Anolis sagrei: one gene and its partner. The protein of the gene in region 2 interacts with the protein of the main gene of each other region in a pairwise test. Links are inferred from orthologs where the notes say so. Each region holds a gene or a part of one and is shown on either strand. Other genes may lie near its edges.

Region 1 (17,094 bases), on a different chromosome or scaffold from region 2:
TAGAAAACATACAAATTTGAGTAGATGAATAGGTACCGCTCCGGTGGGAAGGTAACGGCACTCCATGCAGTCATGCTGGCCACGTGACCTTAGAGGTGTCTATGGACCTTAGAGGTGTCTTTGGCTTAGAAATGGAGACAAGCACCACACCTCAGAGTTGGACACGACTGAACTTCACGTCGGGGGAAACCTTTACCTTACCTAAGAGTCTCAACTAGATGGCCGAGGAGTCACTTCCAATTCTGTGATGCCATGCTATTCACAACAACTGAAAGAAATAAATGCCCACTGAGGAAACAGCTATACTTTCCCTTAGTTGTTGTTGTGTGCCTTCAAGTTATTTCCGATTTATGGCAACCCTAAGTCAACCCTATCATAGGAATTTCTTGGCACGTTTGGATTTGAAGCAGGGAATTACTCTTGCCCCACTCTGAGATTCAGACAAGAATGAGACATGCTGGTATCCCATAGAACTAATAAATGTATCAAAGCAAAAAGTGAAGCACACTCAGAAAAAATACACATGGTGGAAAGATGCACAGCATAGCCTTCTGTTCACACTGTACTTCTGCCCCAATAAAGAAGTCATACTCATTAACAGTTCTAATCTTTTTCTACTCATATGTAAGCATACACATATCAAAGGATAAAACTCAGGCTATGTGAAGACGGTTGAAAAGGAAACAAAGGGAAAAGCCTGCATACAGTCTAATCATAAAAAGCACTCCCAATAGGTTCAAAGGCACAACCCCCCAGTGAATAAAAGACTATGGCCTAAAGTAAACTATACTAAGCAGCTAATCTCCTTTGGGAATAGAGTTCATACCCAATAATAAAACTTCCCAGAAACTTTTTGTTGGCTACAGAACAGTTGGGTCTCCTGCAAAGTTGAACACAGCTTCAATAGGCCAAAATGTGCCCTCCCAATTTCACATATGATTAATCTATGCTGACGATTGTGCCATCACCACTCAAACAGGGAGCTTTGAAATGGTCAAACAGAAGCTCTCCGGAGTTTTAGGTGCTCTTACTGCCTATTACAGAGAAAACCAGCTGATTCCTGATCCATCTAAAACACAGACATGTGTTTTTCATCTTAAGAACTCTGAGGATTACCTGGGAAGGAATCTCAAAGAGGCATTGCAGCACACCAAAATACCTGGGAGTCACTCTGGACCATGCTCTGACTTACAAGAAGCACTGCTTGACTATCAAGCAAAAAGTGGGCACTAGAAATGACATCATATGAAAGCTGACTGGCACAACCTGAGGATCACAACCAGACATAGTGAAGACATCTGCCCTTGCACTTTGCTACTCTGCTGCTGAATATGCATGCCCAGTGTGGAACATATCTCACCACATTAAAATAGTGGATGTAGCTCTGAATGAGGCATGCCACATTATCACAGGATGTCTACACCGCACACCACTGGAGAAATTACATTGTTTAGCCGGCATCGCACCACCTGACATCCATCAGGAAGTAGCAGCCAGAAATGAAAGGACCAAGGCATTGACATCTTCGGCCCATCCTCTGTTCAGTTACCACCCAGCATGCCAACATCTTAAATAAAGAAATAGCTTCCTAAGCTCTACAGAAATACTCGCAGGAACACCTCAGCAAGCGAAAGTCCAAAAGTGGAAGGCTGAAACCCAAAACCTCAATCAGTGGCTGAGATCAAATGAGAAACACCCTCATGAGCACACAAAAGACTGGACAACTTGGGAGGCGCTGAACAGACTGCTCTATGGCACCATGAGATGCAGAGCCAATCTTAAGAAATGAGGCTACCAAGTGGAGTTCCCAACATGCAAGTGTGAAGAAGTGCAAACCACTGACCACCTACTGCAATGCACTCTGAGCCCTGCCCCATGCACAATGGGGGACCTTCTTACAGCGACATCAGAGGCACTCCAAGTGGCCAGCTTCCGGTCAAAGGAAATTTAGTATAATGCTAAGCTTTTAACCTTTTTATAGGTTTTTAAACATTATAATTATATTCTCAATTCACTTCTGACATGATAAATACTTTGTCTGCAAGGTAACTGTTTCTATCACTTGGTCCTCTAAGCAAGTATGATAGGTAGACATGCCTTCCTTGTTTTACTCACCCCCTTTCCCAAGACTGCTGTGTATTATCACCAGTGACAAATGAGCACAAACACCACTGATGAGGCAGACAAGACCCTCAAGGCTTGTTTAATACAATTAACTCTTTCAAAGAGCACATCACGAGAGTGACAATTATTTGCCTTTGGCTCACAAACAGAGGGAAGCAAACAAAACCGCTGGCTATCTGTCACACACATGGTATTGGTCAGCTTTACAATGAGCTGCTTTTTAGCAGACATGCATGTAACTTGCATCTCACGATCAGGAATTCAAACTCTTTCAGACTGTCAAAGAGAAAGGGCAGCAGTCATTAAGAGTTCAGCTACGACTCTGCTTGGTGACCATGACAGATTACCATGTTACGTCAAACATTGGTATTAAAGTTACACTATTTAATAGTATACTGTTTAATAAGTGTCTTAAGAATTGATATGTTTTAATGATTGTTTTAATATATATGTTTATTTTATTATGTATGTATGTTTACGTGGCATCGAATCATTGCCTGTATATGTAAGCTGCCTTGAGTCCCATATGGGGTTGAGAAAGGTGAAGTATAAATAGGGTAAATAAATAAATAAATTCACACTTATAGCAAATACATAATATACATTCTAACCAAAGGAACCAGGTGATACAGTTTCTCAGATTTCCCAAGCATTAATCTATCTAAACCTAACTCGCAAGATTACCCTCCTATTGCGCAAGTTCCTATCCTTTGTCACTAAGGTAAAACCAGGCGTACGAAAACAAATGTCCTTAAGTGAAGGATTTCAAGGGAATTTCCAAGCAATGAATGAAATTGTGTTTTCCTGATACTCTTTCCTCCAGTCCTCCACAACATCCTGCAAGGGGGAAATTACAAAGTAGGGAAGCACCTTGCTCAAGCATTAGACAGTGATAAACAGAATTGCTTGAAATGAACAACCCCACCTATAAGCCACAGGTGTACAACCCGATGGCCTCCAGATGTTGGAACTATAATTCCCATCAGCCCCAGCCAACAAAGGCAACAGCAAGGGCCGCAGTGTTGAAATCCAACTACAGTCTGAAAGTAACAAGAAGCACATCTCCGGTTTCAACCTTTGGCTGTTTTCAAAGAGGTCTTTCACTTTCACAAAAGACTCCTGGGCCACGAATACTGAAGAGACAGACAGCCAACAATAGCCAAGGTGTTTTGAAATGACACACCCAAAGTGCAAAACCTGATGGTACACAGCCAGCCTGCTTTTGTGAGAGAGAGAGTGTGTGTATTTAAGAATGGCATGACATTCTAAGTGGCATTATCGACTCCCAACACCTGGGCATCGCCATTGCCAAAAGACATATGGATGTGAACTTTGGAATACAAATCTCCCTTGCTGAGTTCATCGACTGGCATTCACCTGCCCCATTTTCTCCTCCTGCTGTGTGTTTGACCCATCTCTTTTCAAGCCCTTCAGAGGTAGAGGGGTCTGAAGGAGTCTACCGTATATCATGCAGCTGTGGACAAGTCTACACAGGGACCACCAAATGCAGCAGTGCCCAGACACGAATGAAAAGCCAGAGAAGTCAGCCACAGAAGAGCACTTGATGAACCAACCTGGGCACAGCATATTATTTGAGAACACAGAAATGCTGGACCACTCCAACAACCACCATGTCAGACTACACAGAGAAGCCACTGAAATCCACAACCCTAAAATTCAACAGAAAGGGAGAAACCATGAAAATGAACAAAATCTGGCTACCAGTATTAAAAAAACTCTAAAATCAGGACAGTAAAGAAAGAACAACACGCAAAAAGCAGGGAAATTCCAGACAAGAAACAATCAGGTCTAGCGAACACCTCCCAACAAAGGATTCCCCCAGGCAGCAACCAGCCAGGCTTTGAAGCTGCAAGGCCATTTGGTGCAAATCAATGTGGCCACTTGCAACATTCACACTTGCCTCTAGCAGACAAGAGTTCTTTCCCCCACCCTGGACATTTCACAGATATATAAACCTTACTTGGCTGGCTTCCAACAGACCCCTCAACTTCTGAGGATGCCTGCCATAGATGTGGGCAAAACGTCAGGGGAGAATGCTTCTGGAACATGGCCCTACAGCCCGGAAAACTCACAGCAACTTTCAGAGATGAGCTTCCAAGAGTCCTTCTGGGACAGGTTGAGCACCCCTTATTCTAGAATCCCCAAACTCAAAACTACCCAGATAGATGGCTGAAATTGGCACACCTTAGCTTTCTGATGGTCCAGTATAAACCCACTTTGTTTCAGGCACAAAATTATTTACAGTACTGTGTATAAAATGACCTTTACTCTATGAGTATAAGGTGTACATGGAATATAAATGAGCAACATGTTGAGACTTGGATCCCACCTGCAAGATACCTCATTACGTGTATATAATATGCACATACAGATATTCCTAAATCTGGAAGGGAAAAACGCAAAGTGAAAAACAAAGCATTTTGAGTCAAGAATACTAAACCTTTGGAGGGACCATAATGTTTTGTATAAGCATAGGCAGGTAGGCTGTTAGAAATGGTGAGAGTTGAAGTCCGAAACACCTGGAGGGTCAAAGTGCGCCTATGTCTTGTATTGTATAAAACAGGCCTGGGATAACTTGGGCCCTCCAGGTGTTTTGGACTCCAACTCCCACCATTCCTAATATCTACAGGCCCCTTCCTTTTCCCCCTCAGCCACTTAAGGGCCTGAAGCTGTCAGGAATGGCAGGAGTTGAAGTCCAACATACCTGGAGGGCCCAAGTTTGCCCATGCCTGGTATAAAAGGAGATTCCAATATCCAAGATCTCTCTATGTATATCTCTTATTATTAATAATATAATACAAATTATATTATTTATATTATAATTATATTATTAGGTAAAGGTTTTCCCCTGACATTAAGTCCAATTGTGTCTGGAGGGTGGTGCTCATCTCCCTTTCTTAGCTAAGCGTTGTCCATAGACACCTCCAAGGTCATGTAGCCAGCATGACTGCATGGAGTGCTGTTATCTTCCCGCTGAAGCAGTACCTATTGATCTACTCACATTTGCATGTTTTCAAACTGCTAGGTTGGCAGAAGCTGGGGCTGACAGTGGAAGTTCACACTGCTCCCCAGATTCGAACCTGTGACCTTTCGGTCAACAAGCTCAGCAACTCAGCGGTTTAACCCACTGCGCCACTGGGGGCTCCCAATTATATTATTATATTATATTTATATCTCTATGTATATCTCTTATTATTAATATAATAATTACATTATTAATATAATAATTATTATGTTATATTATTATATAATATGCTACCCCTCTATTCTGCCTTGGTTAGACCACACCTGGAATATTGTGTCCAATTCTGGGCACCACAATTCAAGAGAGATATTGACAAGCTGGAATGTGTCCAGAGGAAGACGATTAAAATGATAAAGGGTCTGGAGAACAAGCCCTACGAGAGCAGCTTAAAGAGCTGGGCATGTTTAGCCTTCCAAAGAGAAGACTGAGAGGAGACATGATCACCATAAATAAATATGCGAGAGGAAGTCATAGGGATGAGGGAGCAAGCTTGTTTCCTGCAGCCCTGGAGACTAGGACATGGAACAATGGCTTCAAACTACAGGAAAGGAGATTCCATCTGAACATGAGGAAGAACTTCCTGACTGTGAGAGCTGTTCAGCAGTGGAACTCTCTGCCCCGGAGTGTGGTGGAGGCTCCTTCTTTGGAAGCTCTTAAGCAGAGGGCGGATGGCCATCTGTCGGGGGTGCTTTGAATGTGATTTTCCTGCTTCTTGGCAGGGGGTTGGACTGGATGGCCCATGAGATCTCTTTCAACTCTATGATTCTATATTTATATCTCTATGAACATATTATTAATATAATTATTACTTTATTAATATAATAATATCAATATTATATTTATTATTATTATATTTATTATTGTGTGTGTGTGTGTGTATGTATATGTGTGTGTATATATATATGTATATATATATATATATATATATCTAATAAAGGATACTCAGCCTGTAGTATAACATTTGGCGAGACCACAATGTATTGTATGCAAGGGAATTCCCACATCCAAGAGTCCTCTCTGTCTATGGACATTGCTAATGGGAAACCCTGTTGGCACCAGGCCTTTTGGGTCAGGACAGAGCCCTGGCTGGAGGTTTCCCCTACCGGATTGGGACGCCCCCTAACCCTAGCCCCCCTCCCCTCCTCCTCCTCCACTCACTCTTGAGGGCCGCGATGAGGGTCTTCCCGTCCTTGATGAGCTCCTTGATGAACTTGTTGGTCTTGTCCAGCTCGGCTTCGTGGGACTTGAGCCTCTCGCGGAAAAGGGGGCTGTCCAGGCAGCAGTCGCTGAACTCCAAGGCGGGCAGCCCCATGGCTGCTTCCCCGGGACCCTCCAAAGCGAGGCTGAGAACAATGTTACGATCTGGAGAGTCAACAAACAGCCCAGTGCAAAAGATGCTCAGGATTGGCAAAGGCTGAGAAGAAATGTCCTTGATTCAAGGAGCCTGTTCCTTTAAGGCTGGGGAACCAAAGAGGCGCAGGATTCGCACCAGGCTTGCGGGCGAGGGCAAAGGCGCTCTCATGGCCGGAGCTCACTCCCGAGACACGCTTCGCATTCCGGGGGCGCGGCTCCCCATTGCGGTGGCTTGCTGGTGCAAGAGTCCCCTTCCTTCCCTTCCCTTCCCTTGGAGATGCAAAGGGCGGAGGAGGAGGAAGCAGCAGCAGCAGCAGTGCAGAAGCGGCTTCCCTTCACAGCGCCGCAGCCATCTCCGCCCGTCGGCATCCGGGCTCAAAGCGGGACACTCCGCTTCCCCATTGGAACGCCACAGAGCCCTTTCCGACCATTGGAACGTCGCGGGAAGGAGGGAGGGAGGGAGGGGAGGGGGAGAGAGTGTTGTGTTTTTTTTTTCTTCCTCCGAACGTGGCTCCGCCCCTTGCGCCAGCCGCAGCCAATGAGCGCCTCGCCTGCTCTGAAGCAAAAGGGAGAGACCCGGCGAAGGGGCGTGGCCAGCGTCATGTCAAACCGCATGGAGCCGCTGCCCCGCCCGCGGTTCTTAAAGACGCCGCCTCCCAAGGAAGGAAGGAAGGGTTGCTCAAGGGCATTGCTGCTGCTGCTGCTGCTGCTGCTGGGGAACCTGTTGCCGCGCCCGCCAGCACGCGGCAACAGGTTCCCCAGGGAAGTAACGGGAAGCACAGAAGGGGGATCTCAGAAATCAGTGCCCTTTTTAAAAGGGGGGTGGTGTGAGAGAATGAGATCACTACGTCATCCCCCTCCCCTAGCTTTAGCATTTATTGACGCAGCTAATTTGGGGTGTCATGAAACGCATTGTGATTATAGTTCTTGGGTGCATCTATACTGCGGTTTGACCCCACCTTTATCTTCATCACACTAGAGAAGAAAATCCACTTTAAATCCGGTTTCTGCCTCCTGCAGAATTCTGGGGTTTGTAGTTTAGTGCGGCTGTTAAAAGCACCTCCCTAAACTACAAACCCCAGAATTCTGCAGGAGGCAGCAACTGGATTTTAAGTGTTTTTTTCTCTCTTACTGTGATGAGGCCCTTTAAATGCCTTGTCTCAATGCTATGGAGTCATGGGAGCGGTAGTTTGGTGAGGCACAAGCCCTCTTTGGTGGAGAAGGCTAAAGTCTGTGAAACTACAACTCTCAGGATATATTTATTTACAGTATTTATATTCCGCCCTTCTCACCCCGCAGGGGACTCAGGGCAGATTACAATGTCCATATACATGGCAAACATTCAATGCTATAGACACACAACATATATAGACAGACACAGAGGCAATTTAACATTCCAGCTTTTCTTGAGGGTATTCTGGCCACCAGGGGAGCTGTCGCTTCACCAACCATTTGTGGCACTGATGAAGTACTTCCTCATTCTTTGCATGCTTGCTGGAAATTTTTATGGCCTCGTAAATTAGTTAAATTTGCCTCCCCGCAAGCTGCATTCATTCTACAGTGCACTTGCGTCAACCTTGGCTAAATGTGTGTGCTATGCACCTTATTTATTTATTTGCAACATTTTTACCCCACCTTTCTCCATCCTAGAGGAGAAAGGTGGCTTACACTTAGGCAACTATTTGATGCCTTCCAAAACAAACATGCAAATAGAATTATAAACTACATTTAAACATATAAAACAATGCCTTCCCTGTTAACCACGTTATCCAAAGTCATAGCCTGGGCCATTCTAATAGTCATTGCACATAATTCCATTTTATTTATTGCACAAACACTGAGAAGGCCCTGTCTCTCATCCCCTCCAATCACATCTGCGAAGGAGACAGGGCAAAGAGCAGGGCCTTCTCGGACAATGGTTCATAGGAAGAGATCTGTTTGGACAGGTAAGCTTGACTGGGGCTGAGCCCCCCCTCAGGCAGCAAATAATTTTGGGTTAATTCCCTGCGTGGACTGGAATCCTGGCATCTAGCAAAATGTGATGTGTCATTTCCAACTTATGGCAACCCTAATGTGAATCTTTCATGTGGGGTCTCTTTTACACCAGCCACTGGCAAACTTGGGCCCTCCAGATGTTTTGGATTTCAAGTCTGACTATTCCTAACAGCCTCAGGTCCCTTCTTTTTCCCCCTCAGCTGCTGAGGCTGTTAGGAATTGTGGGAGTTAAAATCCAAAACTCCTAGAGGATCCACGTTTGCCCGGGCCTCATCTACACTGTGAAATGAATGTAGTTCAGTACCACTTTTAGCTGCTGTGGCTGAGTGATAGGGAATCCGGGGAGGTATAGTTTAGTGAGACATGTGCACTTTGCCAGAGAAGGCTAAAGGCCTTGATACTCCAATTTGCAGGAATCTATAGCATTGAGCCATGACAATTAAAGTGGTGCCAAACTGCATTCATTCCAACAGTGTAAATGCACCTATGGTTTTCTGTGGCTGAGACAGTGCGACTTGCCCAAGGTCACACAGTGGATTTCAAAAGTGGAGATTAAAAACCCTGGTCTCCAGAGTCTTAGCACAACACTCAAACTGCTATATAATACTATACTGCAGGCATGGGCCAACTTGGGCCTTCCAGGTGTTTTGGACTTCAACTCGCACAATTTCTAACAGCCTCAGGCCCTTTCCTTTTCCCCCACAGACACTTAAGCAGAAAAAGAAAGGGAAAAGGAAGGGGGGCTGAGGCTATTAGGAATTGTGGGAGTTGAAGTCCAAAACACCTGGAGGACCCAAGTTTGCCCATGCCTGCTATACTAGCTGTCAGAGTGGCTGTGTAAGGGGCTTTACAGGCCACTCTGCATACAACATTTCCCTTTCCCCTCTGGCATAGCTCCTTGTGCCTTGCATATCCTACCAGGAAACCAACTTGAGAAATCCATTTCTGCTTCTGGCGGTTTCTAGCTTCGTCAGCGTAGTTTTCTCCTGAAGAGCACCACATCACATTATCGCTTTTGTGCTCATGATTTCTCCAGAGAGAATTGCTGGTGAACTTTGGCCACTTTTATTGTAGTCAACTTATACGTGTCACTTATATTTCGCTTTCCGTTCCTTAAATCCTATTATTTCATCTTTATTATTTTTTCCAATGCACCTAGACAATTGCCTAGAAATCACTCATTGCTTTTTGGCATTTGGGATTTTGCCTTAGCATCCCTATGCATATATGTATCTTGGGCCACTCTGGATGTTGAATCCCACACTAGATATTATATAGTCTTTCACCTTTTTCAAAAAGCCACCTGGAGAGGGACAATTCAGGTCAGAGTTGCTACATGAAAAGTAAACATCTAGTTTTTAAAATATTAATATATTCATGCGCTGTGCAACCATGAATCTGGGAATATTCTCCAAAAGCAAGCCTTGCTTTCACCATATATATCACACACACACACATTACTATGCCTTTGTATATAATAAGAGTGGGTATCCATGGATTTAGTATGGAGGGAGGTTTTTTTCCCTAAAACCAAATCCTAGTGGATATACCAAGGACCCACTGTAGATCATAATATTGTTATACATACTGCAGCTCCCTAAGTAATGGGAGTCTCTCATTTGGTATCAGCCACTGATTGAGTTTCGGGTTTCAGCCTGCCACTTTTGGACTCTCACTTGCTGAGGCTTTCCTGCAAGTACCTCTGTAGATCTTAGAAAACTGTTTCTTGATTTAGGACATTGGCGTGCTAGCTGATATCCGAACAATGCATGGGCCAGAGATGTCACTGCCTTTGAACTGGGTTATCTGAGTCCACACTGCCATATAACCCCATTCAAAGCAGATAATGTGGGATTTTATACAGCAGTGTGGAAGGGGCCTCATAAGTGTCCTAGTGTAAAACTATCTATGCATTTTTAAATAGCATTTTACATATTAGTTTTGTAATTTACATTTTTTGTAAAAATTAATGTCTTCTTTTATTATTGCCTCCATGAAAGTTATATTGATAATTGCTTTAGTAGTTGTTATCATCATCCTGCATAAAAAGCAACACAATACAGTGCTCTGCTAGATACTGTTGATCAATGGGGATATCAAGGGGCATGCTTTGGTCATGACCTCCCATCAGTTAAAAAAAATAGCCAGTCGTCTTGGGCTATAAGCCAGCAAATACCACAACAAAGGGATTATGAACCAACAGCCACAACAAAATTGTTGGCTAGCACAATAAGATTTTCCCAATCCCAATAATAAATAATAGCGTTAGAATGCTTGACACAGATGTAGGCAGATATGATTTTAGGAAGAACCTTGTCATAACTAATGCATACATGTTAACAGATTAAAATGTAAGCGTATTTAAAGCTGTCCATTTAGAAAAATGAATCTTCATAACCAAGACAGAGAGACAGACTAGACTGACCAAGGACAACCAGATGGCAACCCTGAAAATCCCCATTTCTAGGGTTTATGTTATGGTAGATTGAAACTTGGGAAGGAGGGTTAGCGAGTTGGTTTTGTCACGTTTTACATCAGAAATTATTATCTTTCTAGTCTATAACGTGAAACATTGTAGAAGCTGAAATAATGTCATTGTTGTAGTTGAAATAATGTCACTATTGTAGCGTGATCAGGAAACTATTGTAAGGCACTTCTAATAATAATGCTAGAATTTGTTTATCATATTGCTACTTTTCTGATCAGCCTCCCATCTGTGTTTAGGATTAGCTCTTCCAGATTAAATAAATGCCATGAAATTAAGGCATTAGTTGCTTCAGGTAATATGTTACTGTCTTTGAAGCAGATGGACAAACTTAGCATTACTGTCTTTTAATAAATGTACTTATGTTCCATTGTATCTCTCAAATGACGGCCTTTTGCTAGTAATTGCACACATAAATAATGATAATAATGATGATGATAATAAATCTTTACAACATATTAAAAGCAATAACACATAAACCATCTATAAAATAAAACATAAATAAGCATTTAAAACCAACTACATTATTGTAGGGTCGTATTGAGTCATATTGCACACACAAGCAGTATCATATCTTTTTCTTTAACCATGGCCCAGCAAATTCTCACTGTCCCAAATTTAAGACCTTATTTTCTTACATCCCAAATCTATCATATGTCTGGAGTAAGACTTGTGTGAGGAAGACAGAATCACAATCAAGACAAGAAAAGGAAAATATAATAAAAGATGCCGTGACTCACAAAAGGAACATTAATTCTCATATCTCTACATTGCAACAGTGGAAACAAAGTCCAAAGGAATCCAGCACAAGTACACAACAGGTTCATGGAACCAAAAGCCTATATAATATCTACTTGTTCACATAGGAACAGGAAGGCATGAATGGCTCCAGAGAAATGGAAACCAAGAAAGTAATTGTGTCATGAACCACACTTTAAAGAGAAATTAGAACAGAATTACCGCTTCTGCTAGGCATTATTTGATCTGCTGAGTGGAAGAGTGCACCTACACTGCATAATGAAAGCCGTTTGGCAGCACTTTAATTGCCATTGAACTATGGAATAATGGAGAGTTATAGTTTGGTGAGGCACCAGCATTCTTGAGCAGAGAAGGCTAAAGACCCTGTAAGATTACGGCTCCCATGATTCCACGGCAGTAAGCCATGACCGTTAAAGTGGTGTAAAGCTGCATTAATTCTACTGTCTAGATACACCTGAAGTGGGTTCTCATCCATTTTCTATCTTTATAAGAGCAATTGCACATTCCTAGGGAACTAGTGTGATATAGCCCCAATGATCACTATGACAAATTAAGACACAATGCATTTATTTATTTATTTATTTATTTATTATTTATTTGCGGTATTTGTATACCACCATTTTCAACCTCGAAGGGGACTCAGGGTGGTCCACAGCATTATCATTTCCCCACTAGTAATGTGCAAGTCCACATCATAAGCACGTGAAACATCTTCCAATCTTAGGAGCCAGTGTGGTGGACTAGAGCTCTAGGAGAATGGTTCGAATCCCTGCTCAGCTGTGGAACCCACTGGGTGACCTGGGGCAAGTCACACACTCTCCGCTTCATGGAAGGCAAAGGCAACTCTCTCCTGAACAAATTTTGTCAAGTAAATACCTTGGGGTTTTCATACTTGATGGCCCACAATATTCCAAGTTTTTGTTTACTTGCCTTCAGAATTCTCTGAGATGGCAGCACTGTGGCAACTTAGCCAGGAGAAGAAAGTTTATGTGATCAGAAAAAGATTTCCACATCCTCTGCCTAGCTGACTCTCCCTCAATAAGCATTGTTTTCCTTTAGCAAAAGACACAATGAAACCTGTCTTTCTCTGTAAATCATAATTTACTCCTTTCTGAGTGTATGTGATGTATTTTAAAAGATTAATTAGCCATGAATTCATTGTATGGTCCAAAGGAGCAGATAAGAGGTCAGCTACTGAAAGAAGGATGCAGCACTATTTTCAAGACGTATTTTTTATATTGTGAAGACCTTACCTTCAATATTAAGTCTTAATTCACATAGGGAAAATCCCTTCAATCTTTTATGTCAGTTATCGAAGACTGAAACCTGGGAATAGCTGCTGAGGAAACAGATATCCCTCAAAGGTTTTGTGAACCACTAAAGGCTGCCTTCATTGGTTTAGTGACTAAACCAATTAGCACAGCATTTATTTTATAGCACTGGCTTCAAACTCATGCTTTGATATCTTGACATTTATTAATGTGATGAAAGACCTTAACTGTTTCCAGCAGAAAGAAGAAAGGGAAAATAAATGAAAACATGGCCTGCAGCCTATTATTATTAATAATAGCATTACAGCTTATTTTTTTCTAATGATCCTTGGACTCAAAGTGGCTGGCTTACAGATTATTAAAACCAATTCAGACTGAAAACATACCAAACCATTTGAAATATATATTTAAAATAATTTTAAAATAATTATTTTGTAGAAGTAAGTTTAATTAAAGACAGTTTAAAATCAGTAAAATAGTACACTATTAAAAATCCTTGCAATCAATTTTTAAATCTTTAGCAGAATATGAAGATTTTCACTTGCTGATAAACCAAAAGACCAAGTGATCTCCATCTGTAATGATTAAATAAAAGAAACGTGAACGTGTAGCTATATCAGAATTCTGCTTCCAGCTTCCAAGCAGAAAATATTCTTAGAGATATTTAATAAATAGTGGGATTTTAAACTTTCTTCTTTTGACACTACTGTGTACGCATCAATTAATCAATCATGGAGCCTGTGAACATTACAGAGGACAATTTATAAATTGCGTTTTTGATTTATGCAGAGAGCTGGGCCGTGCATTGTTGTCACCTGACTTTATATTCTATCACAGAATCTCAGGGCAGCATGCAAGAAAAAATAATCACTCTAGCAATTTAATTGAATGCATTCTCAAGAATATATTCAAGTAGGGCTTTTATGCCAGCCAATTGGCAAGTAAAATACTTACCATCTACATATTCTTAGAATGCCACTATGTATAGAGAAGACATCCAACTCTATTTTGCTTTTCCACCCAAATTCAAATAAGCAATTCTAGTTGTGAACCAGTGGACTGGATGGGATTGTTTACTCCTTAAAAGAGCCCCTGGTAAATGAAAAATCATATCACAGAGTAGGAATAGAGACTATACTCCCCTGAAAACTCTGCTTTTGGGCTTGTGTGCACTGCTGGATTGAGCCTTTAGCCTGGATGCTATGGTTTCAACAGTGGTCACAAATATGTTTCCACAGCTAGTGTGCCAGCTGAAAGTACTGCTAGAGAAGTCTGATCTGGCCATGGAAACGTGCCTTAGTTGTGTGCCATTTGGGTTGCTGTGATATGCTCAGTGGAGGAAACCTTCGGAAAAGGTTCCAAATGTTCAGTGACCTGAAAATACTGCAGCCAAGTGATTGAACAAGGAATATTACATAGAACATACCAGTTTCTTACAGCAACAGCTTTTCTGGCTATATCTTACATTTTTCCAGCCAATTAAAAGTTCTGGTTATTATATATTATATTATCCCATCTTTTCCTTTTCTAAGATTTAAGTCAGCTTACAAAGTTTAAACAGAAACAGCTCGTGTTAAAACTATGATTATACTATCAACAAAATACCAATACTACAGCATTCGATCTCTGTTAATTTTTAATTTCTGTATGTATGTATTTTATCTTTTACAATTTAGCTGTAAATCACCTAGAGCAGTCTCGGATGGAGGGCGATTAATAAGAAATTAAATATGATATGATATGATATGAAAATTAAATGTAGTGAAAGCAAGCTGTTAAAAAGATGACTACAAATGTAACAAAATGTCAACTACATATGTAGATATATTTTAGCTATATCATGAGAAGGCATGTCTCACTAGAAAAGAAATCAATGCTTTTTACAGTAGATGGAAAGGGGGAAGATAGCCTTCCAGATGGATAGATTCACTCAAGGAAGCCACGGTGATGATGTTATCACACCAGGGCTTTAAAACCGGTGGCCCCACATTTCCCCCACCTGCAGAATTCTGGGAAATGTAGTTTAGGGCAGAGCCTCAGCTACAGAGGTCTTCACCTTCCCAAACTACATTCCTCAGAATTCTGTAGGTGACAGAAATGCAGAGCTGCCCTCTTTAAAACCCTGGTGTGATAACATTCAGCACTGGAACGGGGCTGTTGATGGCTGGTGACTCAGAGGCCTCTCCTTTATGGGTTTGCCATAAATCTTAAAGTCAACTTGATGGCAGTTAACAGCAACAAACATGAAAGGGACTTGCCCACCTGAGTGGTCAATGATCATAGGCCTGCTGAAATGAAAATGTCTTTACCTGACCAGGACTGTGCCAGTATAGCATTGCTAGGAAGAGAGTTCCAGAGCTTGGGAGCAGCCACCAAGAAAGTTTTGTCCTATGTTTCCACTTGATATTCCTATGAGGGTGACGGGATAGAGAGAAAGATCTGCCAAGATCCCAAAACATCTTACAATCCATAACATGGTTAAGTACTATTAGGTCCTACATGGCTTGGATCCAGCCTGTTGAGAGGCTGTATTTATCTCACTAATCTTGCCCAGTCTTCATGGCAGCTATCTCTCATGGACTAGCACATTTCGTGAGGATACAAAAGATAGCCACCAAAGTGGCATGTCCCAGGTTGTACAACTCCAAAGCAGGACTAGGTTAGCTTGTTACCTACTGTCCTTCCACTGGTGGATAAATTCAGGCAGGCTTTTAGCAACTGGCTAGAAGCTAAAGAAGACACATCTAACAGCAGGGATGGGAATTGTTCTATTCACCATGTTTCCTAAAGGGCTTTTAAATTGTTTTTGTTTTATGTCTCACGGTTGTTTCTGATCTATGGTGAACCTGAGGCGAAACTATCATAGGGGTTTCTTGTCAAGATTTGTATAGAATAGCTTTCCTACCCTCTGAGGCTGAGAGTGTGTGACTTGTCCAGGATTACCAAATAGAATTCATGGGTTAGCAGGGATTCAAACTCAGATCTCCAGGGCCATTGCCCACTGCTCAAACCACTACACCACGCTACAGTTGCTTCCTGCCCATTGCCACAGACAACGCTTCTTAAAATTCCACACCAATCTTTCTAACAGTTTTGCTCTACTGCTCCTTCCTCCTCACTGTGATACAGAGGCATGCTGGGAGAGGTCTGCATTGTGAGTGAGACTTTTTTCTTTATGAATTTATAGATAAATGTTGTACATTTGAAATACTGAGCACTGGGACAATGCAAACTGTTACTTGGCTGTATCTCAAGTGAGGCTTCGTTGGTTGCCTGATCTTGTATTGTAACGTTTCAGCAGTATCACAATTGGGATAGCTACAGAAACAAATGTAGTTATAAAGCAAATTAAACTCTCTAGAGACCCCTTCCGGCCGACTCAGGCACAACTCAAAGAAAGAAGAAAAGAGAACATGGATCTGAAAAAAAGAATGATTCCTGCAGGAATAGCTGGTCAATGCAAATAGTAGAAACATAATATAACAATGTGTAAAAAATATTTTTAATCAAGTGCTCTTAGAAGGCTGCCAGCATTCATTACAGATTTGAATTAGGGATTTGAAGAGGGCATCATATTCCAGCCTACATGTAATTGTTAGTCCCAAGATAGCAGATCCATTGCATCAATGAAGACTTAGTAAGACAACGCTGACTGAATGGGTCTATTCCATAGAACACAGGAAACACTGTATTTAGGGCTACAGTTCTACACATTATATGTTAAGATAATTTAAATATCCATCAAAGTAACATGTGGATTTGACCGTGGCATTTGAAAGCATTTTTACAATATAGGTCCATAACCAACATGCCTGTATCAAACATGGGGGTTGTTGTTGTTATGTAAACACCCAGTACATAATTTAAAAATCATAATTTAACAGCCAGTTATGGCATTGCAAGTTAGGCTTGTGGCTGCATAGCTGTTCCTACTCATATTTACGGTCATAGTACCATTACCATGATCATAAATATCCCTGAAACCCATCTGAAAAGCCAGGCAGCTACCCTGAGCTGTAGAGTTCTGCAGCTTGGGGAACAAGGCACCACAGGGTGAAGTG
Region 2 (17,356 bases):
CCCCCGACAGATGGCCATCCAGCCTCTGTTTAAAAGCTTCCAAAGAAGGAGCCTCCACCACAATCTGGGGCAGAGAGTTCCACTGCTGAACAGCTCTCACAGTCAGGAAGTTCTTCCTCATGTTCAGGTGGAATTTACTTTCTTGTAGTTTGAAGCCATTGTTCTGCGTCCTAGTCTTGGAGTCCTCGTGGACAACAAGTTAAACATGAGCCAACAATGTGATGTGGCTGCAAAAATAGCCAACATTATTTTGGCATGCATCAATAGGAGCATAGTGTCTAGATTTAGGGAAGTCATGCTACCCCTCTATTCTGCTTTGGTTAGACCACACCTGGAATATTGTGTCCAATTCTGGGCACCACAATTCAAGAGAGATATTGACAAGCTGGAATGTGTCCAGAGGAAGGCGACTCAAATGATCAAGGGTCTGGAGAACAAGCCCTATGAGGAGCGGCTTAAGGAGCTGGACATGTTTAGCCTGAAGAAGAGAAGGCTGAGAGGAGATATGATAGCCATGTATAAATATGTGAGAGGAAGAGGAGGGAGCAAGCTTGTTTTCTGCTTCCTTGGAGACTAGGACGCGGAACAATGGCTTCAAACTTCAAACTGAGGAGCAGCTTAAGGAGCTGGACATGTTTAGCCTGGAGAAGGCTGAGAGGAGATATGATAGCCATATATAAATATGTGAGAGGAAGCCACAGGGAGGAGGAAGGAAGCTTGTTTTCTGCTTCCTTGGAGACTAGGACGCGGAAGAATGGCTTCAAACTACAAGAGAGGAGATTCCATCTGAACACGAGGAAGAACTTCCTGACTGTGAGAGCCATTCAGCAGTGGAACTTTCTGCCCCGGAGTGTGATGGAGGCTCCTTCTTTGGAAGCTTTTAAACAGAGGCTGGATGGCCATCTGTCAGGGGTGATTTGAGTGCAATATTCCTGCTTCTTGGCAGGGGGTTGGACTGGATGGCCCAGGAGGTCTCTTCCAACTCTTTGATTCTATGATTCAGGTGATGGTCATCTCGAGGCTTGACTACTGTAACACCCTCTACATTGGTCTTCCTTTGTCAGTGATCTGGAAACTGAAGCTGGTGCAAAATGCGGCAGCTTGTCTTCTCATCGGGATGCCGGCGAGGTGTCGCATCACCCCAATTCTCCAACAGCTGCACTGGCTACCGATTGAGTACCGGATCACTTTCAAGGTGCTGGTACTAACCTTTAAGGCCTTACATGGTCTGGGGCCAGCGTAACTTGACCAACCCCCTAGCAACCCCAGAGATTACTCCGGTCTGAAGACCAAAATTTGCTTGAAGTTCCTAACATCTGGACTTATCATTTGTCATCTACTAGGCAAAGAGCTTTCTCGATCGTAGCCCCTTATTTATGGAATGCCTTGCCAGTTGAAACCCGAACTATCCGAGACCAACTTGCTTTTTGGAAAGCCTGTAAAACCTTTCTTTTCCGGCAAGCTTTTGACGGGTGAACAACCCGGACTATGCCTGTTCTCGCCGCCTATTGTTTTGTTATTGATATTTTAAGGCTGGTTGTGTTGTTTTGGTCTGCTTCTGTGAGCCTAGGACGTGGAGCAATGGCTTCAAACTACAAGAGAGGAGATTCCATCTGAACATGAGGAAGAACTTCCTGACTGTGAGAGCTGTTTAGCAGTGGAACTCTCTGCCCCGGAGTGTGGTGGAGGCTCCTTCTTTGGAAGCTTTTAAACAAAGGCTGGATGGCCATCTGTCAGGGGTGATTTGAATGCAATATTCCTGCTTCTTGGCAGGGGGTTGGACTGGATGGCCCATGAGGTCTCTTCCAACTCTTTGATTCTATGATTCTATGTGGACTGCTCTGGGCCGAGTTGGGAGTGGCGGTATGCAAGTTAAATGGATGGATGGATGGATGGATGGATGGATAGATAGATAGATAGATAGATAGATAGATAGATAGATTGATGTTGTATGTTTCTTGTTTTATTATGTACAGTTGGCTTGGGCAATCCATGGTTCTAAATGGTTCTAAAGTACTTACAAAAGGGCAATCCATGGTTACAAAATGGTTCTAAAGTTCTGGTGGTGAAAATTTCAGAACTCTAACAAAACTCTCAAAATTTCATAATAAATGGCAGTTCCTAATTGGTTCTGTCATTAAAATCACCAGTAATGAAATAATAATTAAATTTTGAAAGTTTTGTTAGAGTTCTCAAATTTTCACCACCAGAACTTTAGTTTTGTAAGTACTTTAGAACCATTTAGAACCATGGATTGCCCAAGCCTAATGTACAGAGTTCCTCCGAGCATGCACAGAGTTCTGTTTCCCCCAGCGGGTGAACCCCAAGTCGGTGACACAACCTGACATGTGATTTGCATGTCACTCTGTGCCTCTTTCCAGCCAGATCTTTCCCTTCATCGAAATGGTTGCTTATATAAACCAAGTGTGTTTTACAAACTTGGCAAGAAATTAATGCAAAACAGCTTTTGCTGGAAAGAGAATGATGACTTCCAGGGAAAGGAATTCAGGGGCTGTCGGGTTTCAGGAAAAAGGAGCGAGGAGGAGTTGAAGGCAAGGAGAATTAGAATCAGCTTTGGACCCAGGTTCGAATTCTTGCTCAGATGTGGAAACCCACTTGGTAACCTTGGGCAAGTTGTATGGCGGCTTGTTCACGTTGTTGCGATGTCTCCAAAGGGGGTTTCTATCGGGTTCAACTTGAGGCTGAGAGAGTGTGACTACACCAAGTGTCGTCGAGGGCATCCCGAATCGGTGCTCCTCCAAACCGCGGATACCGAAACCCCGAAAGGCCCCCGTATCCGCGATATGGCAGATTGTCTCCATTTTGATGGCATATTTTTCCTTGCTTTGGTGGGGTCCCAGGGTCTCTCCTCTTGGGCAGATTCTCCTAAAGTTCCTATCGACTTCACAAGTACTTCACCCACTATGCCATGCTGGCTCACTCCGTGGGATGCTTCACTGGGGGAAAAACAATCCATACAATTAGTCAATAATTATTTGTGACTCACGACCTCCAGACGCCAAAAAGCAGCTTGCCAATGTTGTGCTCCTCTTGAGGGTTTTCCACAGAGAGATTGCTTCACTTCCTCTGCAAATCCATTGCTGTTTTACCTCCCAGGATGTGTTTGTCCTATTCCTCCCTTCTTGTTGTTGTTTTTCAGGCTTCCTATTGCTGTGTTCCTTCCCGACTGAGCTGGTTAGATAGGTGGCAAATCCAGGTTTTGAACCATTTCCAAAAGAAGATCAGCTCTTTTATTTTGTGGCTTTATTTCCAGTTCCTTCCTTCTTTTCCCTTCTTCCTTTCCTTCCTTTGGCTTGCTTGCTTTCCTTCCTTTTGCCTCCCTCCCTCATTCCTTCATTTTCCTTCTTCCTTTTGCCTGCCTCCCTCCTTCCTTTCTTCTTTTTCTTCTTTTTTTATTCCTTCTTTTTCCTTCCTTGCCTTCCTTTTGCTTCCTTTGCTTCCTTTCCCCCTCCTTTTGCTTCCTTCCTTCCTTCCTTTTCCTTCTTACTTGCCTTCCTTTTGCTTCCTTTCCTTCCTTTTCCCCTCCTTTTGCTTCCTTCCTTTCTTCCTTTCCTTCCTCGCCTTCCTTTTGCTTCCTTTTCTTCCTTTTTCCCTCCTTTTGCTTCCTTCCTTTCTTCTTTTTCCTTCTTCCTTGCCTTCCTTTTCCTTCTTTTCTTCCTTCTTTTTCCTTCCTTTTGCTTTCTTCCTTTCTTCTTTTTCCTTCTTCCTTGCCTTCCTTTTGCTTCCTTTCCTTCCTTCTTTTTCCTTCCTTTCCTTCCTTCTTTTTCCTGCTTCCTTTCCTTCCTTTTCACTCCCTTCTTCCTTCCTTCCTTCCTTCCTTCCTTCCTTCCTTCCTTCCTTCCTAGCGTCATTTCCTTCCCTTTGCTTCCCTTTTGCTTCCTTCCCTTCCTTTTTTCTTTCTTCCTTTCCTTCTTTTTGCTTCATTTCCTTCCTTTTTCCCTTTCTTCCCTTCCTCTTACTTCGTTCTTTTTCATTCTTTCCTTCCTTCCCTTTGCTTCCTTATTTTCTTTTTCCTTCTTTCTCTTCCCTCCCTCCTTTATTCCTTCTTTTTTCCTTCCTCCTTCCTTTTACTTCCTTCCTTTCTTTTTCCTGCATCCTTACCTTTTCCCTTCCTCCCTCTTTCCTTCCTAGCTTCATTTCCTTCCCCTTGCCTCCCTTCCTTTTGCTTCCTTTCTTCCTTTTTTCCTTCTTCCTTTCCTTCTTTTTGCTTCCTTCCTTCCTTTCTTCTTTTTCCTTCCTCTTCCCTCCCCCCTCCTTCCTTTCTTTTCCCTTCCTTCTTCCTTTCCTTACTTTTGCTGAGAAGGAAATAAATAGAGAAGGAGGGAGAGAACGGAAAAAAGGAGGGGAAAGAAAGAAGGAAAGAAAAAAGAGGAGAGAAGGAGGGAGAGAAAGAAGGAGGGAAGGAAAGAAGGAAGCAAAGAAAGAAGGGTAGAGAAGGAAGGAAGGACAGGAAGAGGGAGAGAAGAAAGAGAGGAGGGAAGGAGAAAAGGTAGGAAAGAAAGGTAGAGAAGGGAGAGAAGAGAAAGGAGGGAAGGAGAGAAGAAAGGAAAGAAAGAAGGATAGAGAAGAAGTAGAGAGGGAGGGAGAGAAAGAAGGAGGGAAGGGGAGAAGGAAGGAAAGAAGCATAGAGAAGGAAGTAAGTAGAGAAGGAAGGAGAGAAAGAAGGAAGGAAAGAAAGAAGGATAGAGAAGGAAGTAGAGAAGGAGGGAGAGAAAGAGGGAAAGAAGGAGGGAAGGAAAGGTAGAGAAGGAAGGAAGGAGAGAAGGAAATAAAAAAGTGAAAGAGGGAAGGAAGGAGAGAAGGAATGAAAGAAAGAGGGAAGGAAGGAAGGAAAGAGACAAGGAAGGATGGAACCAAAGAGCAAAGGAAGCAAGAAAAGAAACAGGTAGAGAAGGAAGAAAGAAGAAGGGAAAGAAAAAGGGAAGGAAGGAAAGAGGGAGGGAAGGAAGGAAGGAAGAAGAGAAAGAAAGAAGGAGAGAAAGAATGAGGGCAGGTTGGCCACAGCAAAGCGTGGTGGGTACAGCTAGTCTATATAAATAAAAACGTAATGTTTGTTGTAGTTCACCTGTATCCAGAGAGCACTGTGGACTCAAACAATGATGGATCTGGACCAAACCTGGCACAGATACTCACTATGCCCAAATGTGAACACTAGTGGAGTTTGGGGAAAATAGAGTCTTGACATTTGGGAGTTGTAGTTGCTGGGATTTATAGTTCACCTACAATCACAGAGCATTCTGAACCCCACCAACGATAGAATTGGGCCAAACCTCCCACACAGGGCCCCCATGTGGGCCACAGCAACGCATGGCAGGGGACAGCTAGTAAATAAATAATAATAATTTCCTCAACAGAAAACACTTTTTGCCCCAAGCATTTTGGATCAGAGACAGGCCACCTTCACTGGGTTGTTGTAGGTTTTTTCGGGCTATATGGCCATGGTCTAGAGGCATTCTCTCCTGACGTTTTGCCTGCATCGATGTCAAGCATCCTCAGAGGTAGTGAGATCTGTTGAAACTAGGACAAAGGGTTTATATATCTGTAGAATGACCAGGGTGGGACAAAGAACTCTTGTCTGCTGGAGCTAGGCGTGAATGTTTCAACTGACCACCTTTTTTGTTTCTCCAGGCAAATGTCTTGTCCTTGCTTTCTCCTCCTTCGCCCTTCCCTAGACAAAGATCTTTGCTTTCCAAACCCCCTCTTTGCTTCTCAAAACAGATCCCATAGATAAAACCTGACCGAAGCCTCCAAAGAAACCCTCTGGGGTTTTCTTTTTCTTCAACCGGAGTGCCTGGCGGATGATGTCGCTCTTCCCCTAAATCAGAGGAATTCCACCTTGACACATTATTAAAATTATAGGCTTGGCTGGCTGTGCTGTCAGAGGAAAATGCAGGCCAAATATGGATTTTGATTTCCTCTCCGCTTGGATCAACACAAAGGAAAGCAGGGAAAGAGGTGGGTTACATCAGATGGGCTTGCATCAGAACGAAAACATGGCTCTTAATCATGGAATCCTAGAGCTGGAAAGAAAAACCCAAAGGCCATCCAGGGCAACCCCTTTCCGTCTTTGGAATATTAGCTATCCCTCCCAATACATACATATATACACACACACATATGAATATAAATAAATAAAAATGTAATGTTCGTTTGTGGGATTAACAGAACTCAAAAACCACTAGACGAATTGACATCAAATTTGGACACAAGATACCTAACAACCCAATTTATGTCCTTCACTAAAAAAAAAAATTGATTTTGTCATTTGGGAGTTGTAGTTGCTGGGATTTATAGTTCACCTACAATCAAAGAGCATTCTGAACCCCACCAACGATGGAATTGAACCAAACTTGGCACACGGTTCTCCCATGACCAACAGAAAATACTGCAAGGGTTTGGTGCACAATGTCCTTTGGTTTTGGAGTTGTAGTTCACCTACATCCAGCGATCACTGTGGACTCAAACAATGATGGATCTGGACCAAACTACATGAATACTCAATATGCCCAAATGTAGACACTGGTGGAGTTTGGGGAAAATAGACCTTGACATTTGGGAGTTGTAATTGCTGGGATTTATAGTTCACTTTCTGAACTATCACAGAGCTTTCTGAACCCCACCAACGATGGAATTGGGCCAAACCTCCCACACAGAACCCCCATGTGGGCCACAGCAACGCGTGGCAGGGGACGGCTAGTCTATATAAATAAAAATGTAATGTTCGTTTGTGGGATTAACATAACTCAGAAACCACTGGTCGAATGGACACAAAATTTTGACACAATACACATAACAGTCCAACGAGTGTCCACCACCCCCAAAAACACCCTCCCCCAGTGGAACAGACTTTAAAACCCAAAAAATACACCATATATACATATATACATACATTCATATACATATGCACATACACAGAGGCAGCCCTAGGTAATTTTCAACGGTAAGCAAACAGTATTTTGGCGCCCCCCCCCCCCCCCCCCAACCAATCACTGATCTATATTTTCTGTTCGTCGTAGGAGTTCTCTGTGCCATATTTGGTTCAATTCCATCACTGGTGGAGTTCAGAATGCTCTTTGATTGTAGGTGAACTATACATCCCAGTAACTACAACTCGCATATGTCAAGGTCTATTTTCCCCCAAGAGTGCCTCAAGAGCGCCCCTGGGCAACATCAACTATACTGCGAGTGCTTACTTTGCGTAATGGGTGAGCTGCCCCTGCACATACACACATTCATACACATGTATATATATGCACAAGCACACACAAATATACATATGTACACACACATACATATACATGCACACACACATAGATACATATACACAGGCACACACATATATACACAAATAAACACATGCACACATACATATACACATATACACATACATACATTCATACACACACATATATATATGCGCAAGCAAACACAAATATACACATACATAAATACATATACACATGCTCACATATATATGCATATACATACATGTATACATTCATACACATATATATATGCACAAGCACACACAAATATACACACATATATATACATATACACATGCTCACATATATATATATACATATACATACATGTATACATTCATACACATATATATATGCACAAGCACACACAAATATACACACACATATATACATATACACATGCTCACATATATATACATATACATAAATACATTCATACACACACGTATATATATGCACAAGCACACACAAATATACACACATACATACATATATGGTCAATAAAAGTATAATATATTAAATATAAACACACAATATATATATATAGTAATGAATGTTTTATACATACACATTTTCACTTTTATTACGTGTATATATTAAATATAAACACTCAATATATATTATATTATTATACAGATATATAGTAACTAATGTTCTATATCATGTATAATAAATGTAAACGCATTATATATTATATTATGCAGATATATAGTAATGTTATATATCTTATAAGCATAATATAATAAATATGAATATATAATAATATGTAATATGAAAATATAATAATGAATATATAATTATATAAAATAATATATAGTAAAAATTATGCATATATAGTCAATAAAAGTATAATATATTAAATATAAAAACTCAAAATATATTATATTATATTATAATAAATCTCAAAATATATTATATTATTATACAGATATTATATTATTATACAGATATATATTATATTATTATGCATATAGTAATGTTATATATCTTATAAGCATAACATAATAAATATGAATATATAATAATATATAATATGAAAATATAATAATGAATATATAATTATATAAAATAATATATAGTAATGAATTATGCATATATAGTCAATAAAAGTATAATATATTAATATATATATAAATATGAATATATAATAATATATAATATGAAAATATAATAATGAATATAAAATAATATATAGTAACAAATTATGCATATATAGTCAATAAAAGTATAATTTATTAAATATAAAAACTCAAAATATATTATATTATATTATAATAAATCTCAAAATATATTATTATACAGATATATATTATATTATTATGCAGATATATAGTAATGTTATATATCTTATAAGCATAATATAATAAATATGAATATATAATAATATATAATAGGAAAATTAATATAATATTATATTATTATAATAATATAAAACACACAATATACATATTATATTATTATATTATTACATATTATATTATTAGAATAATATAAACACACAATATACATATTATATTATTACATATTATATTATAATAATATAAACACACAATATACATATTATATTATTATACAGATATATATAGTAATACACATTTTCACTATTATTATGTCTATAGATTATTATTATTATTATTATTGTCAATATCCTTTATGGATCCCCAAAGATGGGTCCAAAGACAAGAGGATTCAATAGGAGTGAATCAGGGAGGTCAAGCCACAAAGCCCTTCCCTATGATGAAGCAATGTTGCAACATGCAAAACAAAAGGGGCGGGGATAGAACGCTGCCTAGCCAGCCGCGGCTTGGGATTGGTCCAGGGCTGGAGTGGGCGTGGCTTGGCGGTGGGTGGCAATCCTGGGCAGGCGGAGGGCGCGCCTTTTCTCTCTTTGGCGGCCGAAGGAAGAGGAGGAGGCGACGCCCAGGCCAGATCTGGGTGAGTATTCCCCTTGGCAAGGGCGGAGGAGGCCTTCAGGAACCCCATAGGCAGGGATGCAAAGCCTTTGTGGAGCTCCATGGGCGTGGCAAGTGTCAAGGTTTGGGGGTTTCTTAGCGTTGTGAGCCTGATATCTGCCACATGGCACTCTGGACATGCTCAGAAGCCTGGTTTGATGTTTTTAGGTCACTAAATAATAACAGTCTTTGGAAAAAGCACTTTGGACATGCTCAGGAGCCTGCTTTGCTGATTTTGGGTCTCTAAATAGGTACAATGGTTGGGAAGGAACACTTTGGACATGCTCAGAAGCCTGGTTTGCTGATTTTAGGTCACTAAATAACAATAGTCTTTGGAAAAAGCACTTTGGACATGCTCAGGAGCCTGGTTTGCTGATTTTGGGTCACTAAATAGGTACAATGGTTGGGAAGGAACACTTTGGACATGCTCAGAAGCCAGGTTTGCTGATTTTTAGGTCACTAAATAACAACAGTTTGCACTTTGGACATGCTCAGAAGCTGCTTTTTGGTCACTAAATAAGTACAGTGGTTAGGAAAGAACACTTTGGACATGCTCAGAAGCCAGGTTTGCTCATTTTAGGTCACTAAATAGCAAAAATCTTTGGAAAAGGGCACTCTGGACATGCTCAGAAGCCTGGTTTGCTGATTTTACGTCACTAAATAGCAAAAGTCTTTGGAAAAGGGCACTCTGGACATGCTCAGAAGCCTGGTTTGCTGCTTTTAGGTCACTAAATAGCAACAGTCTTTGGAAAAGGGCACTTTGGACATGCTCAGGAGCCTGCTTTGCTGATTTTAGGTCACTAAATAGGTACAATGGTTGGGAAAGAGCACTTTGGACATGCTCAGAAGCCTGCTTTGCTGATTTTGGGTCATTAAATAGGTACAATGGTTGGGAAAGAACACTTTGAACATGCTCAGAAGCCAGGTTTGCTGATTTTAGGTCACTAAATAACAACAGTTGGCACTTTGGACAAGCTCAGAAGCCTGGTTTGCTGCTTTTAGGTCACTAAATAACAATAGTCTTTGGACAAAGCACTCTGGACATGCTCAGGAGCCTGCTTTGCTGATTTTGGGTCACTAAATAGGTACAATGCTTGGTAAAGAACACTTTAGATATGCTCAGAAGCCAGGTTTGCTGATTTTAGGTCACTAAATAACAACAGTTGGCAGTCTGGACATGCTCAGAAGCCTGGTTTGCTGCTTTTAGGTCACTAAATAGCAAACATATTTGGAAAAGGGCACGCTGGACATGCTCAGAACCTGGTTTGTTGCATTTTGGTCACTCAATAGCAACTGTTTTTGAAAAAGAGCACTCTGGACATGCTCAGAAGCCTGGTTTGCTGCTTTTAGGCCACTAAATAGCAAAAGTCTTTGGAAAAGAGCACTCTGGACATGCTCAGAAGCCTGGTTTGCTGCTTTTAGGCCACTAAATAGCAAAAGTCTTTGGAAAAGGGCACTCTGGACATGCTCAGAAGCCTGGTTTGCTGCTTTTAGGCCACTAAATAGCAAAAGTCTTTGGAAAAGAGCACTCTGGACATGCTCAGAAGCATGTTTGGTGATTTTAGATCACTAAATAGCAAAAATCTTTGGAAAAGGGCAGTTTGGATATGGTCAGAAGCCTGGTTTGGTGATTTTTGGTCACTAAATAGGTATAATGGGTGGGAAAGAACACTTTGGACATGCTCAGGAGCCTGCTTCCCTGCTTTTTGGTCACTAAATAGCGACAGTCTTTGGAAAAGGGCGCATTGGACATGCTCAGAAGCCTGGTTTGCTGATTTTCGGTCACTAAATAGCGACAGTCTTTGGAAAAGTCACTTTGGACATACTCAGAAGCCTGCTTTGCTGATTTTAGGTCACTATATAGTGACAGTCGTTGGAAATGGGCACTTTAGACATGCTCAGAAACCTGGTTTCCTCCTTTGGGTCACTCAATACCAACAGTCTATGGAAAGGGGCACTTTGGACATGCTCAGAATCCTGGTGTGCTGCTTTTGGGTCACTAAATAAGTATAATGGTTGGGAAATAACACTTTGGACATGCTCAGAAGCCTGCTTTGCTGATTTTTGGTCACTCAATAGCAACAGTCTTTGGAAAAGGGCACTTTGGACATGCTCAGGAGCCCGATTTGCTGATTTTAGGACACTAAATAGTGACAATTTTTGGAAAAGGGCACTTTGGACATGCTCAGAAGCCTGGTTTCCTCCTTTGGGTCACTAAATAGCAACAGTCTGTGGAAAGGGGCACTCTGGACATGCTCAGAAGCCGGGTTTGCTGCTTTTGGGTCACTAAATAAGTATAATAGTTGGGAAATAACACTTTGGACATGCTCAGAAGCCTGGTTTGCTGCTTTTTGGTCACTAAATAGCAACAGTATTTGGAAAAAGTACTTTGGACATGCTCAAAAGCCCGCTTTGCTGATTTTAGGTCATTAAATAGCTACAATGGTTGGGAAAGAACACTTTGGACATGCTCAGAAGCCTGGTTTGCTGCTTTTTGGTCACTATATAGCGACAGCTGTTGGAAATGGGCACTTTGGATATGCTCAGACGCCTACTTCGTTGCTGTTATGTCACTAAATAGGTACAATGGTTGGGAAAGAGCACTTTGCACATGCTCAGAAGCCTGGTTTGTTGAGTTAATATCGCTAAACATTTCCAGTATTGGAAAAGAGTACTTTGTTCATGCTCAGAAGTCCATTTTGCCTCTATTATATCATTAATACATGTAATGGTTGGAAAAGATACTTTGTTATATGCTCAGAAGACACTTTTATATTGCTAAATAGTTACAAAGGTTGGAAAATTACGTTTTGTATATGTTCAGGAGCTGTTCAGTAGTGGAATATAATAATAATAAGTCCGGCAGAGTCTCCTTCCCTGGAGGTTTTGAAGCAGAGGCTGGATGGCCATCTGCCAGGAGGGCTTTAATTGTGTCTTCTTGCCTGGCAGAATAGGGTTGGACTAGATGGCCGCCTGGGGCCTATGAGACCTTTCCAGCTCTGTGATTAAGAATTGCACAATCGATCCTTAGATCCAAGATAACTAAGCTGAGTCTCCTGTACTTTGGACGTATCTTAAGATAATGCAACTCATTGGCAGAAAAATACACAACAACGTTAACAACAACAATAATAGGAAGAGGAAAACCTTAAATAAAGTATTATTATTATTATTAATTATTATTGTTGTTGTTATCCAATCAAGGAAACGACAACTGCCTTTAGTTTGCAAGAGACACAATCAAAGCTCTCTCGACAGATGGCCACTCAGCCTCTACTTAAAAACCTCCAGAGAAGCAGACTCCATCATCGTCGTCATTATTATTATTATTATTATTATTATTATTATTATTATAGAATCATAGAGTTGGAATGGACCCTCCAAAGGCCATCCAGTCCAACCCCATTCTGCCAGGCTGGAAGACACAATCAAAGCCCTCCCGACAGATGGCCATGCAGCCTCTGCTTAAAAACCTCCAGAGAAGCAGACTACATCATCGTCATTATTATTATTATTATTATTATTATTATTATTATTATAGAATCATAGAGGTGGAAGGGATTCCTCAAAGGCCATCCAGTCCAACCCTATTCTGCCAGGCTGGAAGACACAATCAAAGCCCTCCCGACAGATGGCCACTCAGCCTCTGCTTAAAAACCTCCAGAGAAGCGGACTCCATCATCATTATTATCATCAATTATTATTATTATTATAGAATCATAGAGGTGGAAGGGATCCTCCAAAGGCCATCCAGTCCAACCCTATTCTGCCGGGCAGGAACACACAATCAAAGCTCTCCCAACAGATGGCCACTCAGCCTCTGCTTAAAAACCACGAGAGAAGCGGACTCCATCATCATCATTATCTATTATTATTATTATTATTATTATTATTATAGAATCATACAGTTGGAAGGGATCCTCCAAAGGCCATCCAGTCCAACCCCATTCTGCCAGGCTGGAAGACACAATCAAATCCCTCCCGACAGATGGCCACTCAGCCTCTGCTTGAAAACCTCCAGAGAAGCGGACTCCATCATCATCATTATTATAAAAAAATATTATTATTATTATTATTATAGAATCGTAGTGTTGGAAGTGATTCCCCAAAGGCCATCCAGTCTAACCCCATTCTGCCAGGCTGGAAGACACAATCAAAGCCCTCCTGACAGATGACCACTCAGGCTCTGCTTAAAAACCTCCAGAGAAGCAGACTCCACCGTCATTATTATTATTATCAAATATTATTATTATTATTATTATTATTATTATTATAGAATCATAGAGGTGGAAGGGATTCCTCAAAGGCTATCCCAATCCAACCCCATTCTGCCAGGCAGGAACACACAATCAAAGCCCTCCCGACAGATGGCCACTCAGTCTCTGCTTAAAAACCACCAGAGATGCGGACTCCATCATCATTATCTATTATCAATTATTATTATTATTATTATTATTATTATTATTATTATTATTATTATAGAATCATAGAGGTGGAAGGGATTCCTTAAAGGCCATCCAGTCCAACCCCATTCTGCCTGTCTGGAAGACACAATCAAATCCCTCCCGACAGATGGCCACTCAGTTTCTGCTTAAAAACCTCCAGAGAAGCAGACTCCACCGTCATTATTATTATTATCAATTATTATTATTATTATTATTATAGAATCATAGAGTTGGAAGGGATCCCTCCAAAGGCCATCCAGTCCAACCCCATTCTGCCAGGCAGGAACACACAATCAAAGCCCTCCTGACAGATGACCACTCAGGCTCTGCTTAAAAACCTCCAGAGAAGCAGACTCCACCGTCATTATTATTATTATCAATTATTATTATTATTATTATTATTATTATTATAGAATCATAGAGTTGGAAGGGATCCTCCAAAGGCCATCCAGTCCAACCCCATTCTGCCAGGCTGGAAGACACAATCAAAGCCCTCCCAACAGATGGCCACTCTGCTTAAAAACCACCAGAGAAGCGGACTCCATAATCATCATCATTATCAATTATTATTATTATTATTATTATTATTATTATTATTATAGAATCATAGAGGTGGAAGGGTTTCCTCAAAGGCTATCCAATCCAACCCCATTCTTCCAGGCTGGAAGACACAATCAAATCCCTCCCAACAGATGACCACTCAGCCTCTGCTTAAAAACCTCCAGAGAAGCAGACTCCACCATTGTCATTATTATTATCAAAGATTATTATTATAGAATCGTAGTATTGGAAGTGATTCCTCAAAGGCCATCCAGTCTAACCCCATTCTGCCAGGCCAGAAGACACAATCAAAGCCCTCCCGACAGATGGCCACCCAGCCTCTGCTTTAAAATCTCCAGAGGAGATTCCATCATAATTAGAGATGATGATGATGATTATAGAATCATAGAAATAGAAGAGAACTTCAAAGGTGATCCAGTCCAACCTCTTTCCAGGCAGGAAGACACAATCAAAGCCCTCCTGGTAGATGGCCATCCAGCCTCTGTGTAAAAACCTTCAGAGAAGCAAACTCCATTATTATTATTATTATTATTATTATTATTATTATGCACATAATATTATTATGCACATAATAATAATAAATGTGAAAATAACTAACTTGGCACACAGAACTCCCATGACCAGCAAAACATACTGGAGGTCTTTGGATGGATTTATAGGAGTTGTAGTTCACCTACACCCAGAGTGCACTATGAACCTAATGATGGATCTGGACCAAACTTGGCATACATACCCGATATGCCCAAATTTGAATACTGGTGGGTTTAGAGGGGAATTGGCCTGGACATTTTGGAGTCGGAGTTACTGGGATTTATAGTTCACCTGCAATCAATGAGCCCTCTGACCTCCACCAAAATGGAATTGGACCAAACTTCGCACACAGAGTCCCCATGACCAGCAAAAAATACTAGAGGTCTTTGGCAAAAATTCACCTTGATTTGGGGGAGTTGTAGTTCACCTACATCCAAAGAGCACTGTGAATCCACACAATGATGGATCTGGACCAAACTTGGCACATGTACCTGATATGCCGACATTTGATTACTGGAGGGGTTTGTGGAGAACTGACCCTCCTTTCTGGGAGTTTTAGTTCACCCACAACCAGAGAAACTGAAACCCCCATTAATGAGGGACCTGGACGAAACTTGGCACACAGAACCTAGGTGAATTACTCAACCTACTGGAGGGGTTTGAGGGGATTGACTCACCATAGTGGGTCAATCATAACAAACAGTCATAGTAATCATAATAATGGTTTTCTTTCCAGCAATGTTTACTATTTCCTATGAGTATTTCGTAATATAGGTCTATAATCAATTGTTGTCATTCTTGGTAGGGATAAAGCAGCACTTCTCAATATGGGGGTCGGGACCCCTGCGTGGGTTGTGAGGTGGTGTCAGAGGGGCCACCAAAGACCATCAGAAAACACAGTATTTTCTGTCGGTTTGGAGGTTCTGCGTGAGAAGTTTAGCCCAATTCCATCATTGGTGGGTTTCAGAATGCTCTTTGATTTCAGGTGAACTATAAATCCCAGCAACTACAACTCCCAAATGTCAAGGTCTATTTTCCCCAAACTCCACCAGTGTTCACATTTGAGCATATTGAGTATCCGTGCCGAGTTTGGTCCAGATCCATCGTTGTTTGTGTCCACAGTGCTCTCTGGAGGTAGGTGAACTACAACTCCAAAATTCAAGGTCAGTGCCCACCAAACTCTTCCAGTATTTTCTTTCAGTCATGGGAGTTCTGTGTGGAAAGAATGGTCCAATTCCATTGATGCTGGAGTTTGGAATGCTCTTCGATTGTAGGTGAACTATAAATCCCAGCCACTCCCAAACGTCAATGTCTATTTTCCTCAATATGCCCCCATTTGGGCATATTGAATATTCGTACCAAGTTTGGTCCACATCCATCGTTGTTTGTGTCCACAGTGCTCTCTGGATGTAGGTGAACTACAACTCCAAAATTCAAGGTCAGTGCCCACCAAACTCTTCCAGTATTTTCTGTTGGTCATGGGAGTTGCCAAGTTTGGTTCAATTCCATTGTTGCTGGAGTTCAGAATGCTCTTCGATTGTAGGTGAATTTTAAATCCCAGCAACTACAACTCCCAAATGTCAAGGTCCATTTTCCTCAATATGCCCCCATTTGGGCATATTGAATATCCAGATCAGTTATTGTGTCCACAGTGCTTTCTGGATGTAGGTGAACTACAACTCCAAAATTCAAGGTCAGTGCCCACCAAACTCTTCCAGTATTTTCTGTTGGTCATGGGAGTTGCCAAGTTTGGTCCAATTCCATCGTTGCTGGAGTTCAGAATGCTCTTTGATTGTAGGTGAACTATAAATCCCAGCAACTACAACTCCCAAATGCCAAAGTCTATTTTCCTCAATATGCCCCCATTTGGGCATATTGAATATTCGTACCAAGTTTGGTCCACATCCATCGTTGTTTGTGTCCACAGTGCTCTCTGGAGGTAGGTGAATTACAACTCCAAAATTCAAGGTCAATGCCCACCAAACTCTTCCAGTATTTTCTTTTGCTCATGGGAGTTCTGTGTGAAAAGTATGGTCCAATTCCATCATTGCTGGAGTTCAGAATGCTCTTTGATTGTAGGCAAACTATAAATCCCAGCAACTACAACTCCCAAATGTCAAGGTCTATTTTCCTCAATATGCCCCCATTTGGGCATATTGAATATCCAGATCCATTATTGTGTCCACAGTGCTTTCTGGATGTAGGTGAACTACAACTCCAAAATTCAAGGTCAGTGCCCACTAAGCTCTTCCAGTATTTTCTGTTTGTCATGAAAGTTTCCAAGTTTGGTCCAATTCCATCGTTGCTGGAGTTCAGAATGCTCTTCGATTGTAGGTGAACTATAAATCCCAGCAACTATAACTCCCAAATGACAAAATCATAATCTTTTGAGTGATGGTCACTTCTTGTGTTGTGAGACGTTTCGTTGCCAAATTTGGTGTGATTTTGTTCATTGGTTCTTTTGTTTGTAAGGAACTCATTATGCACAGAGCATTTTTATATAGATAGATTATTTATATTATATTATATTATGTTATGTTATATTACAAGTAGCAGCCAGCAATGAAAGAACCAAGGCACT

What was found.
Region 1: the proteins of CDC42EP2 (region 2) and ARHGAP26 interact in binary tests that used the Homo sapiens proteins (3 or more experiments, as listed by UniProt). The two-hybrid records come from large-scale screens. The link is inferred for Anolis sagrei from reciprocal best matches to the Homo sapiens genes CDC42EP2 and ARHGAP26.

What each region holds. Positions count from the first base shown.
Region 1 is NC_090022.1:95,716,414-95,733,507, reverse strand, and holds the start of ARHGAP26 (rho GTPase-activating protein 26), read right to left. Parts: upstream 7,001-17,094; 5' UTR 6,483-7,000; coding exon 6,329-6,482; intron 1-6,328. UniProt on the Homo sapiens protein: GTPase-activating protein for RHOA and CDC42. Facilitates mitochondrial quality control by promoting Parkin-mediated recruitment of autophagosomes to damaged mitochondria.
Region 2 is NC_090032.1:10,714,350-10,731,705, reverse strand, and holds the start of CDC42EP2 (cdc42 effector protein 2), read left to right. Parts: upstream 1-9,141; 5' UTR 9,142-9,221; intron 9,222-17,356. UniProt on the Homo sapiens protein: Probably involved in the organization of the actin cytoskeleton. May act downstream of CDC42 to induce actin filament assembly leading to cell shape changes. Induces pseudopodia formation in fibroblasts in a CDC42-dependent manner.